4 linked regions of the Schizosaccharomyces pombe genome follow. Changing the gene in region 4 together with the main gene of any one other region gives a genetic interaction. Each region holds a gene or a part of one and is shown on either strand. Other genes may lie near its edges. The genes, in order: apl4, scw1, mug33 and rho3.

What was found.
Region 1: of rho3 (region 4) and apl4, extra expression of one rescues a mutant of the other (dosage rescue), as found in Schizosaccharomyces pombe (one study listed by BioGRID).
Region 2: mutations in rho3 (region 4) and scw1 impair growth when combined (synthetic growth defect), as found in Schizosaccharomyces pombe (one study listed by BioGRID).
Region 3: mutations in rho3 (region 4) and mug33 impair growth when combined (synthetic growth defect), as found in Schizosaccharomyces pombe (one study listed by BioGRID).

Annotation. Positions count from the first base shown.
Region 1 is NC_003421.2:2,400,084-2,405,359, reverse strand, and holds apl4 (AP-1 adaptor complex gamma subunit Apl4), read right to left. Parts: upstream 3,364-5,276; 5' UTR 3,294-3,363; coding exon 783-3,293; 3' UTR 557-782; downstream 1-556. Other genes in the region: protein Cwf18, read left to right, coding at 1-245; acyl-coA-sterol acyltransferase Are2, read left to right, coding at 4,987-5,276. UniProt on the Schizosaccharomyces pombe protein: Adaptins are components of the adaptor complexes which link clathrin to receptors in coated vesicles. Clathrin-associated protein complexes are believed to interact with the cytoplasmic tails of membrane proteins, leading to their selection and concentration.
Region 2 is NC_003421.2:671,619-675,794, reverse strand, and holds scw1 (RNA-binding protein Scw1), read right to left. Parts: upstream 2,320-4,176; coding exon 634-2,319; 3' UTR 544-633; downstream 1-543. Other genes in the region: p21-activated protein kinase inhibitor Skb15, read left to right, coding at 1-30.
Region 3 is NC_003421.2:2,045,647-2,049,786, forward strand, and holds mug33 (protein mug33), read left to right. Parts: upstream 1-1,932; 5' UTR 1,933-2,289; coding exon 2,290-3,300; 3' UTR 3,301-3,640; downstream 3,641-4,140. Other genes in the region: cox13 (cytochrome c oxidase subunit VIa), read right to left, coding at 1,015-1,054, 1,139-1,198, 1,251-1,305, 1,354-1,403, 1,454-1,478, 1,527-1,689; SIN component scaffold protein cdc11, read right to left, coding at 3,769-4,140. UniProt on the Schizosaccharomyces pombe protein: Has a role in meiosis.
Region 4 is NC_003424.3:1,039,771-1,043,641, reverse strand, and holds rho3 (Rho family GTPase Rho3), read right to left. Parts: upstream 2,194-3,871; 5' UTR 2,108-2,193; coding exon 2,044-2,107; intron 1,970-2,043; coding exon 1,897-1,969; intron 1,663-1,896; exon of another isoform or gene 1,573-1,662; coding exon 1,092-1,572; 3' UTR 559-1,091; downstream 1-558. Other genes in the region: SPOM_SPAC23C4.09C (chaperonin-containing T-complex associated protein), read left to right, coding at 1-46, 130-260, 378-422; karyogamy protein Tht2, read right to left, coding at 2,796-3,401. UniProt on the Schizosaccharomyces pombe protein: Involved in controlling cell shape and septation. Regulates cell separation by modulating the function of the exocyst complex. Involved in post-Golgi vesicle transport. Involved in driving sexual development in a palmitoylation-dependent manner.

The sequences.
Region 1 (5,276 bases), on a different chromosome or scaffold from region 4:
TTGAATCAGTTGAAGCATTATCGAAGGAGATTGAAGAAAAGACTAAGAGAAAAATTGAAGAACAAAGTTCTGTTCCTGTTGAAGAACTAGATTTGGTAACTTTGCGACCTAAAAAGCCTACATGGGATTTAGAAAGAGATTTAAAAGAGCGAATGCGGTCTCTGGAAACACAAAATCAAAATGCAATAGCATTTTATATACAACAGTTAATTTCTGAACGTGCGCATAGTACTGAAAAAGCTTAAAGCAAGACTAATGCTTTCTAATGTTGGATTTACTCTCTGTTAGTTAATATATAATTCATAGGCTTAATTATTGCATTGATCAATTGTTAAAGGAAATAAGTTTAGGATTTTACATTTTATACTTTTCTAGTTGCGATTGTATTGGAGGTATGCACTTCTATTAAAATAATATTACAGCTTTAATTCTAAATCCGACCACTTCTTAATGAAGGGTTTGGAAGGTCAAATTTCCGTTCAATGATATACAATAAAGAATGAGCAAGTCTCAATTTGAAAATTACATAAGTGAACTTATCCAATAAGTATACCATGATTCCATATCGAGAAAATTGCTAAAATTATATAAAAAAAAACCTATTTTCTTTCATAAAAACAATTAGAGCTTTCATTTTCTATTACCTCATTATTCACTATTCTACGAACATTTTCTCGTAAAACTGACTAGACCCATCAAAAAGTGTAGCATGGATCATGTCAGAAATCTTCTTTGATAGCTCGAGCGTTATATTTTAAATGGCATTGTCCATACTTCGGATACTATTGTAAAAGGTCAGATGGCAACTTTCCAAAATCTACCTGATCGAGAGTATTTGATCCACCTTGTCGGACCACAGAGATACGTAGACGCAGTTTGACTTGAGAACCCGATGGCCCATGAACCCGCAGGGTTTGAGAAGTTTCTCCACCAGGCTCCATACTTGTAGTCCTCAAGGGCTGAATTTTCAGTTTCTGTGATTTGGGAACTGCCACTTCTAGATGTATTTTCTCAACCCTAGTCATTGGATTTTTATTTTTAAATTTAGCTTCAATGACGGCTGTTTTGGTACTTTCTTCTTTGGATGGCACCAAAGTTAACGTCACATCGTGTTTATCAAATACAACAATAGGAGGGTATGATTTGGAAGTTGATGGTATGGAAGAAAGCAAAGACAAGTTGTTTGATGGTTGGCTGGCTGAAGCATTAAAGTCCAAAGAAGCAAAGCTGCTTGCCAAGCTGTCAACCGGTTGAGCTGAAGGCGCCGGAGAAGCAAATAAACCAAGGATATCTTCAAAATGACTCTTTTTGGAAGTAGAAGGAGCGCGGCTTAAGCTGGATTGAGGGCTTTGAGTCATTTCATCCACTGGTGTTTCTAAGGGCTCAGCAACAGAAGGGGTAGTTAACCCAATGAGGTCTAGCAATTCGTTGCTTTCCTGAACACGTTTTTCTACGTGTTTGTTAGCCTTTAGCTTTTGCTCCGCATTTTGATAAGGCGTGGTCCTAGGAGGAGGCAGAGGAGCGGGAGTTGGTTCTAGAATTGTCTTGCTCAATTTGGAGTCATTTAATATAAGGTGGAACTCGACAGATCTTTGTTGCACCTCGGTGTTCTTGTTTCTCTTATAGGAATAAATTATCTTGTCAATACGAGAAGCAGTAGAAGAAGAACCTAGACGAGCACTTAACTTCGTGAGAGCGAAAAGACCATATTGAACAATTATGTACCTAGATGCTTCAACGCTATTAAATACTTCCTCAATAATGTCCACAATATCAGATTCTGAAACAGAATGAGGAAGGGTTTGATCATCATCAAAATTCATTGTTGGTGAAAGAAGCATCTGACCATATTCTCCAATTACCCAAAAAGCAGAAAGAGTTAAAGCTTCCTGAGATACATCTTCCTTTAAAGCAGCGTACAACTTTACCACAGCATATTCATGAAGTTCAGGAGCACTAGCTATGAGTCGTAAAAACGTTGAAAGAGTCGATTCACTGACAAAGTTGCCAGCAGATTTGAAGACTCGTAGAAGGGTATCGAAATGCCATCGCTTATTGGGAGCAAAAGCATTTGTGACTTCTGTAATATATTGAGCAGTGGATCCACGTAATTCATCAGAAACGTTATCAAGAAATGATAAAAGCTCACGCACCATGAAACGAACGTTCGCCTCATTAACGAGAAATGTAGAAAGTTCAAGCGCACGAGATTGAATAGAACTGTCGACATCATTAAGACAAGCAAGGATAGTTGATCGGTGACGCTGAACTGCATTTTCTTCACTATTTACAACGAGTTTCAGCATATTAAGAGCAACATAACGAGTGTTATTGTCACGATTACCTAAAAACTTTGCTAAAATATTGACCCCCAAAACTCGAAGGCTACTGTCAGAATTAAGATCAAGGATGGTACGCACAGCTTGATAAAGAATAGCATTACCTGCATTTCTAGAGGAATCAGTGTTAGTACAGACTTGAGCTAAAAGATCACTCATTTTGTCGTAAATTTTAGGGTTATTTTGACCAAGTATTGACAAAAACTGAAGGATTTTAACTTGCAAAAACGGATCAGATATATTGCCAATGTTATGCTCAGAGGAGTAAGTACTAGTGGACAATTGACGAATACGATAAATCAAATCGTCAGCTTGACTTTCAAATCGGGATATTAGCGACGGATTTATTTTGCAAGCACTGATGGCAAAAGCAAGAGCAGCCATTAAAACACCATGACTTTTTGAATGTAACAATTCATCGGTTTTCTCAATATATAAACTTTCCAAATCCGGTTCTTTTTGAATTACTCTAAGTGCACAGAGAACAGCCTTCTTTGATATATAATTATGATGGTTAGAGCAAAGTTCGGCTATGTCGTTTGACAAATCCCTTGCAAGCTCAGGGCCAGCGACATTACCAAACGCAGATAATGCCAACCCCACAATAAATTTGTCTCTAGATTTCAAGTCATTTTGAAGAGAATTTGTCAATAACGTCAAAACTTCCTGGTTCTCGTCTAACAGAAGCATAGCTGCTAGGTATCCCAAACGTTTATCCATGAATCGCGAACTCGACAACAATTTTAAACATTCAATCTGACCAAAGTGTGTCGGCTCACCGAGTAGAAATAAATATAGCAGCTTGGCAACATTTTTTCTGCGCATACGCATGTCATTAGAACCTTGACGAATGTTTTTTCTGATTTGAGCCGACTCTTTGAGAATCGTTGTGTGCTCCTCAGCAGTCGTTTTGGATGCCCGAACAGCCTTTATAAAAGATTTTAAACTTGACATCTTTGGATGCGTCTTTGGGGAATTGGTGAAACCTCTTTCCACTCCCGAACAAGTAAGATGCAGGTTCTTTGGATGTGTTGTTTGCATTACTTGGCTGTTGCTTGTACATGCGGTAGGGTATTGCACGGTAAATTTCTTTAAAACGAATTTAACGTTGCGACTCTTTCGTCAATCTATCAATAATGAATACTAAAAAATATGCTTTAAATAAAATAAATTTTAATTTGTTTTGTTGCTGCTGTGTTACGTTAAGTCAGCTGAAGTGTCTTTTTTTATAATTCCTAGTTTTTATTAAGCAGATGTAAATACCATTTATATTGATTAACTTAATATTATGTTACCACTTATTGCAAGTACATTTAAGAAGGTGTACTATGGCTAAGAGTTGAATATTTTTTAGGTATGGTTTTTGTGCTTTTCAGTAATCATATTACGTTTAATACACATTCCCTTATTAGAGGTTCTTAATAAAATCCATGTGCAATACTAAAGTTATCTTTCCATCCGTACCAATATTCACTGAGATATTTTACGTTCCTACTATAATTGATTCCAGTAAATATTAACTTGCATTTCTATGAGATGTATTGAAAGCAAACAGAAAAACGCAATCTAAACACAGAATATATAAAACAATGAAAATCAAATCAATTTCACTTAACAAAATAGGATGCAGCTTTAAACGACGCTCAAAACTGATGCATTCACCAATACTGCACAAATTAAAAGAATACCTAGCTTCCTTTGGTTATCTGTGTAATTTTTGAATTATCCTATCGAATTTGCTATATGGAGTTGTTAATTGATGGGCAATATCTGGAATTTATGTTTCTCTATTCGTTCTTGACCACGCTATGTGGCTTTGCTTCTTAACTATGCAGTTTGTAACCAGTTTTAATGGCACGTTAAATCACAGTGAGTTGTATTTGTGCACTACTATATTGCGATATGCAGGTAACGCGAAAATCGGGTATTAAGGTGTTATTGTAAATTATTATTGAAATGCTCATAATATGTAAACTAAGGGAAAAAGGTTCGATTGAGCATTCTTTTTTGTTTGTACCTGTCAGTCATTTGGTAATAAGCTACAATAAGCAAGTGCCAATGTCGTATCACATATAGCGGATAAATGAATAGGACATGTGATATATAGTGATACGTAACGAAATTTTACATAACGTGGTGTAGTATTGCAGATATTGCTGAGATCAGGTGGTTCATCGTCTTAGCTCGCAATTCTAACTTATCAACTCCTTTGCTCATTTTGAAACTGGAGACTTGGCTTTTCCTTACATAAATCGCATAGAACGTGAATTGCTTAGGAGTTCGAGCTTTTTATTTACTTCCATTCTATAGTGGAACATTTGGCATAGAATTTTTATTTTTGGAATCACGACTGTGGAGTTTTCGTCATACCAGTTCTGTCATCTTGAAATTCCAAGTTGGAACTTCCATCAATAGATTACATTTCTAAGTTTCTTGCTTTCATTCCTCAATTTTTTATTTAGAAGCGAAGCAAAAAATAAATTTAATCTTCCTACGTTCATATCCGCTTCTTTTTCAATTTCTTTGATACTGTTCGCGATACGTAGCTGCTGATTTTACGTTATTTTTTTGTTTTATCTTTTTCTTTATATATTTATCTTTTTTGTTATATATTCACTTAGTTGCTTTAATTGCTGGTTATTTAAAGATGATTGCTGCAACACCCGCTAAATCCAAACCATCGGATGTCAACTTGGAACAGACGTTCAAAGGTGTTTCTGAAACCTCAAAAATTGACCTTCGAAGGTCTAGGGCCGCTTACCGACCTCTGGAATTATCTCCTACTCCCTCGATTTTTGCTCGTAATTATCAACGTAATGCGGTAGACTTTACTGGATTTTTTGTGTTATTTTGGGTTGCTGTCTCTATTATGATTTTCATGAGCTTTTTAGAAAATTTCGAATTGACTGGAAGACCAGTTGTTGGCACTATTTTTAA
Region 2 (4,176 bases), on a different chromosome or scaffold from region 4:
CCGCCTGTGAAAAGGACGAAGCATGCCTAAAGTTCCTCGCAATTTTAAAAAAAGTAAATCAATTTCAACTTAATAGGGAAAGGACGGGATTACTATTATACAGTTTTTGTTGGAAATATTTTATTCACCTAGACTATACTAATATTTATAAAAGGATTAAGTGTTTGCTTATCAATGTATCCTAAAAATTCTTGTATGTAAGCTTAAGTTGGGTGTTACAATAAAAATACATCTAACCAAGTTGTTACAGTACTTGTTTAGCAATTTAAGATGGGTTCATTTAGAAGCAAAAGTCGATATTATTATGTAAATTGATATGTGTAGCAGAAGTATATGGAAATGATGAGCAAATGATAAATCCTAATGACAACTAAACAATGCAAGTACCCATCTTATATAAGAGTGAAATAAAACAGATCGCATAAATCGACAAATTGTAATTAAGCTTAACAGATGGTTAAAGTTGCATGCAGTCAAAGTGGAATAGATCGCAACTTTTGATTAACAAAGAATCAATATGCAAAACTCAAAAAAAAAAAAAGAGAAACAATATGCTTAAAAAATTTGGACCTAAAGTCCTTGCAAGGTATTGATGAATAATGATAAAATGAAGACGAGAAAATGCTAGATGAGCTATTTGCCATACATTAGATTATTACCCCAACTGGGACTGGCGTGGACTTCGTTATGTCCACCAGTATGATTAAGCAAAGAGTCTGTATTGTAATTATTCATGGAACCAGAGTGAAGGTTACGAACGTTTCCATTATGGTTGTTATGCGATGAACTTGATGAGCGCACTCCCAATGGGTTCTTCGAAAAACTCAAACGAATACCACCTTTAATGCTACTGCTAAGACAAACACCTTGTAAATTCTTCAAGGCTTCCATGGCGTATGGAATGTTTTCAAATTCAACAAAACACATGGGGCCATTGCCTTTAGTGCGGAAACAAAGTCTTTTGTATCCAACTTGAGTGGAAAACAAAACTTTCAACTCTTCCTCGGAAGTAGAAGGAGGAAGATTTCCAACATAAATGGTGTTACAAGGAGGATTTTGATCAGCAGGGTTGGTATTCGTGGGGGTAGAAGCAGGGATGCGTTGATGAATTCCATGACTGGAGGAATAAGCCGAAAATGGTGTGGAAGGTGAAATGGTAGAAGCTGAAAATGGGTAGTCTCTTGATGTTGATGGTGTCAAGGGAGGAGGGCTTGTTGTACTGAATGCACTGTTTGCCGAAAAGACACGAGGATGGGGTGATTGAGCACTAGAATTTTGGGTATGAGCGCTATAACCCTTTTCAGATGAAAGGTAATTGCGCGCCACGTTGGTGTTAATAGATAATGAGTTAAATCGCAAAATCGGAGGAACACCGTCTTGACGCAAATTGGTACTACTTTTGGAAGGAGTGGGTGACCACGTAGGTGAACCAACTTCATCCTTGGCTAACACATTCGCGAGTGTTAAAGGATAAGAAACAGGGAAAGAAGACCACAACCTATCGGAATGCAAACTACCTCCATTGTTAGGAGCCTGAAAAGTGCTATCACCCAAAGGTGTTTTTGAATGACGATAAGCAGATTCCGAATGATTTGCAGTAGGCATACTGGCTGACACATGATTACTTGACCTGCGGAAAAGATCACGATTTCCTAACAGTGGACGAGTTGGAGAATGGTTTCGAGACAGTCTGTTAAATGAAACACTACTCTCAGAGCCCTCAGTTTCGTCGCTAAGATTTGTTTGACTTCCCTTTCGATAATTGTCTAAAATTATCATGCTGCACGCGGAATAAACATCGCTAGATAGCAAAGTGTCTCTAGCAGATGCAGCAGCATCTCGGGATGAAAACACCGCCAATCCATGAGCAACTTCATTATCCACGGATACAGGATTAAGCTCGACGGATACTACATTCGTAGCGAATAAAAAGGTACATAAAAACTCTCTGGGTGTTAAGTCCCTAGGTAAATCCTCAATCCGCAAAGCATAATATCTAGGAAAACCGAATCCAACCTTAGGAGGAGCAGAGGCTAATCCACCGTTGAGGTTAGAGAGGAGTCTACCAATCGGAGTTGTGGATTTTTCCACAGATGCATAAGTAGGTAAACCGTCAGATTCAGCTTTCCCAGCTTGGCTGTGAATAGCCTGAGGAGACATGTGAAGAGCATGACATTCATCATCTCCATTCAGAATACCGGTTGGAACCAACGATGAACCACGTAGCGCATCTTCAGTAAACTCGGTTTCGTCCCCGACTTTGGTCTTACTGGATAACGATAAAGGCTTTTCAATAGCGCTCGGTGATCCCACAAACATTTTGCAAATTATATATAATGGTAATTGAAAAGAAGAGAAAAAAGAATGACAAAGTGGTTGATAAAGTAACCAAAATAAGCAATAGATGCCTAAAAGTAAAACACAAATGAAATAGCAGTAGTTGTTAAATAAACCCCAAACGATAATAAATGAGGCTTCAAGCTTAATAACACGAAATAGTTAATAAGTGGAGTAAAAAGTTAGAAACCTAGTTGGTCGACTAAAAAGAAAGTGTGTAAGTAATAAAAATAAGCAAGGGCAATGAAGAAAAATAAAAAATTCAGTAAAAATTGTTAGCAAGTATTAGAAAAATCCAAATACTTGACGCGAAAGAATTAGAAGGGCAACAACCTAGAATACTGGACGAAGATAATAAAAGAAAGACTGTAACTTCAAGAAAACGAGAGCAAAGGGTAAACTGTTGACCACCACAAATAATTCTAGTTGCTAAAAGAGAGACAGATACAACTGTGAAGCAAAAAACACAAACTGAAAATGAAAAAAAGATGACTGAAATATGCAAAAATACCGAGCTAACAAAAAGTCTAGGGCAAGGCTTATGAGGAAGAAATCGTCAAAAGTATCGATAAAAAGACTTCGAAGGTATTCGAAATGCTTAAAAAAATCAGTTAGCGATTTTTTTTTTTTCAAAAAAAAAGAAATGGTTGCAGATGGAAAAATAAAATAAACAATCAACTTTTCAATCAGCAGAGTATAAACAAATATACAAACAAGTAAACAAAAGACACTTGTTTTTTTTTGGAGAGGTAAATCAAAGGAAAGCAATCGGGCAAAAAGTGAGAAGCAAATAAAATATACCGCTATCAACAAAGAGTAAATATCCAACAACAAGAACAATCAAGATAGAAGTAAAATTGCTGGGAAGATTGGCAAAACGTAAGCAAAAGAAGTATGAACACGGTTTATAAAGGAGCGAAGAATGAAAGGAAAAGCAAAATAAAAGAAGCTTTTCTAAGTAACGTTAAATAAGAGAGATCAAGTTAAAAGAAAAAAGGCAAAAAGATTCCAAGAAATTTCAAATAAAAAGAAAAAAACTAAGAAGTAAAGTGAATATGAAATCTTTGTGAAAAAATGATTGAAACTTGATCAAAATAATAATAAGGCATAAAATAGGGTCAGAAGAAAAAACAAAGAGGGAAGAAAGAGAAAAAAAAAAGAAAAAGAATAAAACAAAAAAGGTAACCCACACAAAAACGAAGAGACTAAATATTATATAAATGTCACAAAACTTTGTATGAACAAAAAGATGGGCAAAAAAAAAGACCAAACGTTTAATAAGCAAATACCCTTAAGTAATGAGTAAAAGGCGGAAGAAATGAATCAACGAAATCAAACGAGTGAATAAAATTTCGAAAAAAAAAAAAATAAGGAGCCGGGTATCTGAATGAAAACGAATCGTGACTATTTTATGGATTGAGAATAGGGAAATCCTAAAAACACAAAATTGTTTAGTGGGGATAGAAATGGATAGATATGAAAATGAAATGAATAATGAAAGGAGGTCGAATAAAAACCCAGTTGAAAAACTATTTATGGCCAAAATTCAACAAAGCAACAAATGGCTAAAGTTCAATGAAAGGGTACAGAAAAATAAAAAAGAAAAGTAAGACTTTCAACACACACGTTGTGCTTCCGAAACGGATATAATTTTCCTTGTCGTGCAGGCTGAGTCAACGAGCCCCTAAGATGAAAAAATGAGAATTTCCGTAAAAACAATGAAAAGAAAATATTTAATAGGGAGAAACCGAGGAACGCAATAAATAGCAAAACAACCAAGACTGAGAATGCAAAAAAGAAAAAAGAAAAACAAGCGTTATTAGATGAATGAAAGGACAA
Region 3 (4,140 bases), on a different chromosome or scaffold from region 4:
TAAATTTTTTGTTTTCATTCCTCACTTTTATTTTTGGTTTTCATTCTTCCCTTTTATTTTTATTTTTTAGGGTTCATGTTTCCTTTTTTCCACTCAAGTTTTTATTTTTATTTTTTTTCCCTTTTATTTTATTTTCTTTTCCTTTCGTCTCGTTTTATTTCCCTTAATTCCTACTTGGTGTAACTCATCGCACAAACACCACGCTACCACTCATAGTCATATTAGGTGCCTTTGGATTATTTGCTCGCTGCACCATTTTTCTTCTCCTTCCTTTTCCCTTTTACCATGTTGCCCACTCTCGTTAGGTAACGCTCGCATCCGCTATTTTTCAAGTCCTTTTCTTATTATATTATGTCTCTACACTAGAAACATTTTCACATTCTAGTTACGATCCCAGTTAATCAAAATAAAACTTTTTTCAAATACAATATGTTATAGCTTTGTAAACACTTTTCCATTTCCTTGAATACGTTTCTTCCTTGAAAAACACTCCTACAAAACTCATTATTATCTTGAGATTAATAATTCCTTATAATCTTAATGTTACATATATACTAATGCAAAATATAATTTTAAACAGTAAAAATAAAAAAGTCAAAAGGATAGAAACAGACTGTGAACTACTTGTAGCATATTAATGATTTGTATATATATTCGTTCTCTTTTTCGCATGCCAACTTTCAGTCTCATCACTTATTCATTTTGTTTACATAGTATGCAACTGTCTCCATATCCTCCTTCAACTACCTCATCTCTCTTTTCTGCTTTTTCAGAAATCAATGATTATTCACTGTACGTCGCTAAACAAATAACGAATCCAATGCTGAAAGTCACTATTGATAAGAAAACAGCTATTGGCAATACAAACCCGTATGGTCTCACTATTACCTTTTAGCATTGCTAAAAACACACTTTCCGTTATGCATCCCTCCAACACCTTATTCGTTCTTCTTTGCTTGCTACATGGTATGGGGGTTAATTGAGTCGTGCAAAAAGGCTTAAAGAACGCTATGCCTATTCATCATCCTTCTTTAAATGATTGACTTTATCATTCCTGTATATCATTAGTAAATTTCCTTGTCTCATACAAACATAATCTCTCCCTTCTTTCCTCTCTTCTCTCTCATTCTCATCTTACCAGAAAAGTGTCTTGCTACCGTCTCCCCATGGATACTTTTTGAAGCGCAAATTTTCAAAGCTAAACCATTCATTAGTCCCTTCCTTTCATTTCTTCTCTATCTTCTTCATACCTATAACCAGGGTCCGTATCTTCAACATGCTTGGCATGCTCTTGATGCTTGCAATCTATCTCTTGTTAGTCGTTGCAAATCTTCACATTACACTTTTACGTACAAATATAATACGCATTGGCACTAGCCAATATCAATGCTGGTCCACCAATGCTGGCAAATGTTAGCTACCACACAAATTCTTCACTTCCTCATGTTCATACTAATAAGTCACTTTCTTCCAGAATTCTATAAACCCGTTAGTAAGATAAATTTCTATTCCCACAATTCACATACCACTGCTACGCTTTGCATGCTCCTCTTCTGCTTGAACCTCTTCAAGCCAGTTCACCTTTGCTTCGTTACTATAAGCTCGAAAGCTGAGCAAACCCGCTCTCTTAGGAACGCTCGTCTTCAATGTTCTGGATAGGAAGCCAATGTTACGATTCATCATGCTCATTACACTAACAAATTCGCTTTTTTACGATGTTTTCAAGGAGATGGGAGTTGTTGCTTGTGAACATTCTGCTCCTCCCGTACCTTCGTAATTCTACCCATATACTGTAGTAACGCACCGTGTGCATTCTTCTACCTCGGTACAAATTTACCTTAGCAATGTTTAGCGTTCAGTTGCGTAGCGTACCGTACTACTGAAGTGTGGCGCAAAGGGGGAATGAAGTCAAACAACGTTTAACTCAACCACAACCAACAACAAAAACCTCATCATATCTCACCACCAAAAATCGCCTTTCCGCCAAATACATAAAAGCGACTTCAAGGACAAATTATTTCTTTTTTCCATATTAGGAATTGGTAATTTAAACACTTTTAGTCGAATTGAGAGCCTTTTCGTTCATTGCTACGTACCAAATTGCCCTTTCTCAACTTCTGCCTTCCCCTCGGATTTCATCTCTTTTTTGATCGTTTCTCGCTGTAGAGGAACAAAAAGGAAATCTTTAAATCCTAACCGTGCAAAGTTGAACTTTGTTGGTAGCTAGCAAAAGCTCAAAAACTACTCTCTCAAATCACCCTCCAAAGCTTTTCCGCTTTTTTTTAAAAAATGCGGATTCGTAGTGCTACTCCTTCCCTTATCTTACTGGTTATCGCCATTGTCTTTTTCGTCTTAGCTATATGTACTCCTCCTCTTGCAAACAATCTTACTTTAGGAAAGTATGGAGACGTTAGATTTGGCGTTTTCGGTTACTGCTTAAATTCAAATTGCAGCAAGCCTTTAGTTGGTTACAACTCGGATTACCTTGATGAACATGCAAAGGACGGATTTCGTACCTCCGTTATTGTGCGTCAAAGAGCTTCCTACGGCTTGGTGATTGTTCCCGTGTCTGCCTGCATCTGTCTCATATCCACCATTATGACTATATTCGCCCACATTGGTGCCATTGCCCGCTCTCCCGGCTTCTTCAATGTCATTGGAACCATAACATTCTTTAACATTTTTATCACCGCCATTGCTTTCGTTATCTGTGTCATCACTTTTGTCCCCCATATTCAATGGCCGTCATGGCTTGTGCTCGCCAATGTCGGCATTCAACTCATCGTCTTGCTTTTACTCCTTGTTGCACGCAGACAAGCCACAAGGTTACAGGCCAAGCATCTTCGTCGCGCCACCTCTGGCAGCTTGGGTTACAATCCGTACTCTTTGCAAAACAGCAGCAATATCTTTTCTACTTCTTCTCGCAAGGGAGACCTTCCCAAATTCAGCGATTATTCTGCCGAAAAGCCTATGTACGATACCATTTCCGAGGATGATGGTCTCAAGCGTGGAGGCTCTGTCTCAAAATTGAAGCCTACTTTTAGCAACGATAGTCGTTCTCTGTCTTCCTATGCCCCAACTGTTCGTGAGCCCGTTCCCGTTCCGAAATCTAACTCGGGCTTCCGCTTTCCGTTTATGCGCAATAAGCCTGCAGAACAGGCTCCTGAAAATCCGTTTAGAGATCCTGAAAATCCCTTTAAAGATCCCGCTTCAGCTCCAGCTCCAAATCCATGGTCGATTAATGATGTTCAAGCCAATAACGACAAGAAGCCCAGCAGATTTTCATGGGGCCGCTCGTAAATTATCGACCAATCGAGTTTTATCTATCATTTATCATCTCTACATGTTTTCTAATTTCACTTTCAAAGCATTTTTTAACCGTCCCCCCTTTACCTTTTTCCTTTATTTAGTTGATACTTATATGGTACATATGTGTGTGTTTAATGTCACTGTTTCTCAATAGAATTTATCTGTTTTAAGCTAGTTGAATGTAAGAAGAGTTGGAGGGGTTTTCTTTTATTTTTTATTCTTTCAATAGGGTTCTTTTTCTTTTTTTTTAATATATATATATTTTTAGACGACCTTCACGTTTCATTATGCTTATTCATTTTGTATGTGCCATCCAGAAATCGAATTATTATTTACACTATGGTAATGGCGAGTATTATGGTGTATTATGTATTGTGATTATTAACCTTTACACAACAGCGAAACAATCTTGCTATTTGAAAGGTAAAAATGTTTCAAGCTATATCTTCACAAGTCATACTAGTTGGATGATTTGGTGAATGCAGCGCGAGATGATTGTGAAACATCAGATCCATCCAACCATTCTAAGTGTGGACATGCCAATAAAATAGCTTCAGCATACATTTTTCTTCTTGTTCTCCATGCCTCAGACAAAGTGGAACTAAAGGCCAGCTCTTTCTCCTGCCATTGCTTTTGCGGGTCTTCTTTTCTATGATGACCTTTTTGGTTGATACTTTGTTGGTATTTTGAGGCTGCAGAGAGCTCATAAATAGAGTCGTCAATTACGGGATAAATGTTGAAATTAAGAGGATTCATGCGCAGATCCAGTACGTTTAACTGTTTCAGGTTTGCCAATATATCACATAAATTTCGCATCTTTTTGATTCTATT
Region 4 (3,871 bases):
GACAGACTTCGTCGTATAGCGTTGGTACGAAAAGATCGTGCTGAAGGTAAGTGTGATTTCATTTTCTGCGGCGGATAATAATTTAATATCTGTTTACGAATAATGTAAACATGTGTCTAATTTGTGTAGCTGTTGAAGAGCTCCTGTTACGTATGGCCAAAACGGGCCAGATATCTCATAAAATCTCAGAGCCCGAACTTATCGAATTGTTAGAAAAAATTTCTGGTGAGGTCTCCAAACGTAATGAAACAAAAATTGTGGTAAGTGCCTTACTAATTCCTTCTCTCCTTTTTTATTTCAAATTCATCTGAGGAGAGAAATATCAAAAAAAAACATCTGTTTATATTACATGGTCCAGAGTTTAACTGTTTAATTAGATCAATCGACGTGTTCAAGACGATGAGGATGACTGGGATCTTTAATTTAAAGGATAAAGACATAATAAATTTTGTTTTACTTTCAAATGGATCAAATTGAATTAGGGTTGCACGGATGCACGAATACAACATATTGGGTAGTCTAAATTTTTACAATTTTTAACTTCAATTACGATATTTAGGGGTAACACTTCATATTACATAAATATTTAAGGTGCTTTCTAAAACGGTAGGATTTGACTCAGACCCATGTCTTACAACCGAAAGACTAATCCTTATTGCTCAACAGTATGCTTATCGTAAAAGAAAAGGGGTAGATTAATTGATTAGATTAGCAACTCAACGATTACACGAACAGAAGGAGAATTGAACAACTCAAAGTGTACAAGTTTCAAAAAAGAAGGAAAGTAAGGTTCACTGCAAACACTCTTTTTCACGATTGTACAAATACCTGCTGTTTCAAGTAGGAAGGTAAGAAAGATAGACAATACACCTGAAATAAGGAGATAAACTCATTGGAAACGGACAGAATCCCCAAGTGTCAAATTTAAAACCTTGAGAACAGCAAAGGGGATAAAAGTCAAAAGTACAAACCATTGAAAAAAGGTTAACGCTATTCAAAGGCCACCGCAACACCCACACTAACGTCATATACAATAATAAACTTCGAACATTAGAAATAAGACTTTTAGGCGCTTTCAAAAGAAAGTGCTTTCAAGCAATGATACATCCGGTACCATGGGATTCATCAGCACCATCCTTTGTACCTCTTGGTTGCGCGGCAAGGGCAACGCGTGCAGCTTCCGTGAAAGCTTCATTTACGCCACGATTTAATTTAGCGCTGCATTCTAAATATCGTACAGCGTTGATTTTTTTTGCCGCTGCCAGTCCTTCCTCGTAATCAATAATTTTACTGTGATCAACTTGCTCCTCATCAGCTCCACGTAAATCACATTTTAGAGCAACAAGAACCAATTTAACACCAGGGCAATTACTAGAGACTTCCGGAAGCCATTTTGTGATTACATTTTCTAATGAGTCTCGTGAATCCACGGCAAAGCAGATCATAATAACATGTGTATCTGAATATGATAACGAACGCAGTTGATCATACTCTTCTTGACCAGCTGTATCCCATAGAGACAGTTCTATACTGTTTCCATCGACAAAGATATCATGAATGTAGTTTTCAAATCTATTTTTAGGTGTTAGATAACGGAAAAAGTTTTTAAGTACAAGAAGATAATCATGTAAAGAAGTGGTGAAAACCCTTAACAGGTCAAGCATAGTAAAAGCAATTTGACGTTTGGTCATGAGAAATTGTACGAGTGTGACTGTATGGAGAGCACACTCGGGCATTCTCGTTTTCCTCAGAAATGAAACAAATTTCCACAAATTAACCCGTTAGATAAAAGGTTTGCAAAAAAAGATGCTTCATATTGAGTTATACTTGATATTGCAGACGGTAACCTCATTTCCGCTCCGCCGTTTACAGCTTTGCACTATTAATGATACTTACATAGTAGGCTCGTATACCTGAGGGAAATAACCCTTAGTAAATACATTTAACAAACTGGTTTTACCAGCAGCACCTATAATTTACGGTTAGAATGCTTAGCTGCGAAAATCACGAAAGAAAAAACAAAATTTTCACCAAGATCCTTACCATCACCAAGAATTACGATTTTCCGATAAATAGGCTTCTTTTTACTTCCGAAACAGCTTGACATACTTTCAATGAGCTTCAATCAAGCTTTCTATGGGTTTTTCAATGGTTTCTGTATAATAAAGGATTAGAGGTGTTTGGTTTAGGTACGAATTTTGTACCATGAGCTAAAGCCTACGCAAGACCCCAGCTTACTGCTTAGCGAAGGACATACATGTCCTTGTGCGCTGTAGATTGGCTTCTACATTTCAGGTAACAATCAAATTTAGAATAATTAAGGCGATGCGAACCAGTTTATTAAAAGAGATACGGAAATACGTAATACAGAATGAACTTCGCAAGTAGGATTGTTTCATAATATATTTTGATGAGTAAAGCATTAATTCATTGATGAACAAAACCTTCGAAGGATAGTTTTACTAAAATATATTGGGGAAGTCTACTCTCAGTCTCAAAATGAAATACACGGTATATATAACGTGATTGCTAAATAGGAAGAAAATCAACAGCACCAGTTAGTGAAAGTTGACCAAGGGCTTGTCAATTTTGAGGCAACCCTTTCAATTGAAAGTTTAAAATTTAATTGAAAATCGTACTTTGATGAGTTTGAAAAAGGAGTCACACAATAGTACAACCAACTTTACCGTGGTTTGTTTCATGATAATAGTTTAATTTGCACAGCAACTGTTGGAATCATGAATTGAATAGCACCTTTAAAAGAAGAAAATTTTGTTTGACATTTGAATATGCTTTTAAACTTTTTGTGCCGCTTTATGGCTACTTTCCATTATGTCGTAAAGTGTTTTTGCCGAGTCATTCAGAGCATCTGTATAATGTTGAGTTAAAACAAGCCATTCGGCTACAAAAGAAAGCATCTGTAATTCCATCTGTTTTCTATGATAACCCAATTGGAATTGGAAAAACCATTCTTGAGAAGAATCGCAAATTTGAAACTCCTTCGCTACCTTTAACGTTGTTTCAAACGCCTCGCACAATTTGCTGTAAACCATCATACAGAATTTGAGCATTTGTTCAATTTGCTTTGCTAGTGACATAAATACCATCTTTACTGTGTTCGAGGTTGACACAGACGTTTTTTTCATAAGTGATTGATTTTTGTACAACCTTCTTTTTGCGCGCAATAATAGTCTACTACGTTCACTGATAAATACCATCTCTTGAGTTACATAATTATACATTTCTTCTGCGTAGCTTTTTGCATTTTTTGAAGATACGCTAATTTTCGTCAAATTAACTGTTACGTCCCCAAAGCTGGGATTATCATCACTCAAGCTTTTCATATAAGTCTTCCATTCCATTGGAGAATCAATTAGAAAACTGGACACCTGATTCTCCATTTTCTGTATTGTGAGGTTAAAATGTGAAGGGATCAATACACGTTTTCTCGTTTAGGTGCGCTGGTAACAACAAAAAAGTAACAAACAAAAGGAAAGTCAGCAAAACACATAATAAACCAACATGTAAAAAAGTGTTAGTGCAATTGCTTATGCCCTCAAATTTGTAATTGAGTGTTTATAAAGTTCATTTCCTTATGTGAATATTCGTATTATCAGTTATGACTCGTTGCTCTGCTTGCGACTTAAGTTTGCTACCATGCGTTTTTCTTACAACAATTCAGAGATTATTTTCATGATGATTGCTACCGGGTTGCATGAATTAACAACTTAGTTCAATTGTTTTGCTTTTACGATCAGTTTACCCTCTCTCATATTGCGGCGATAATCTGATATTTCAGAGAATTTTAGTTTTTCAAATTGCGAAAAAAAAAATTTTTCAACCAACTTGTATTTCATTGCTAGTGGTTTAT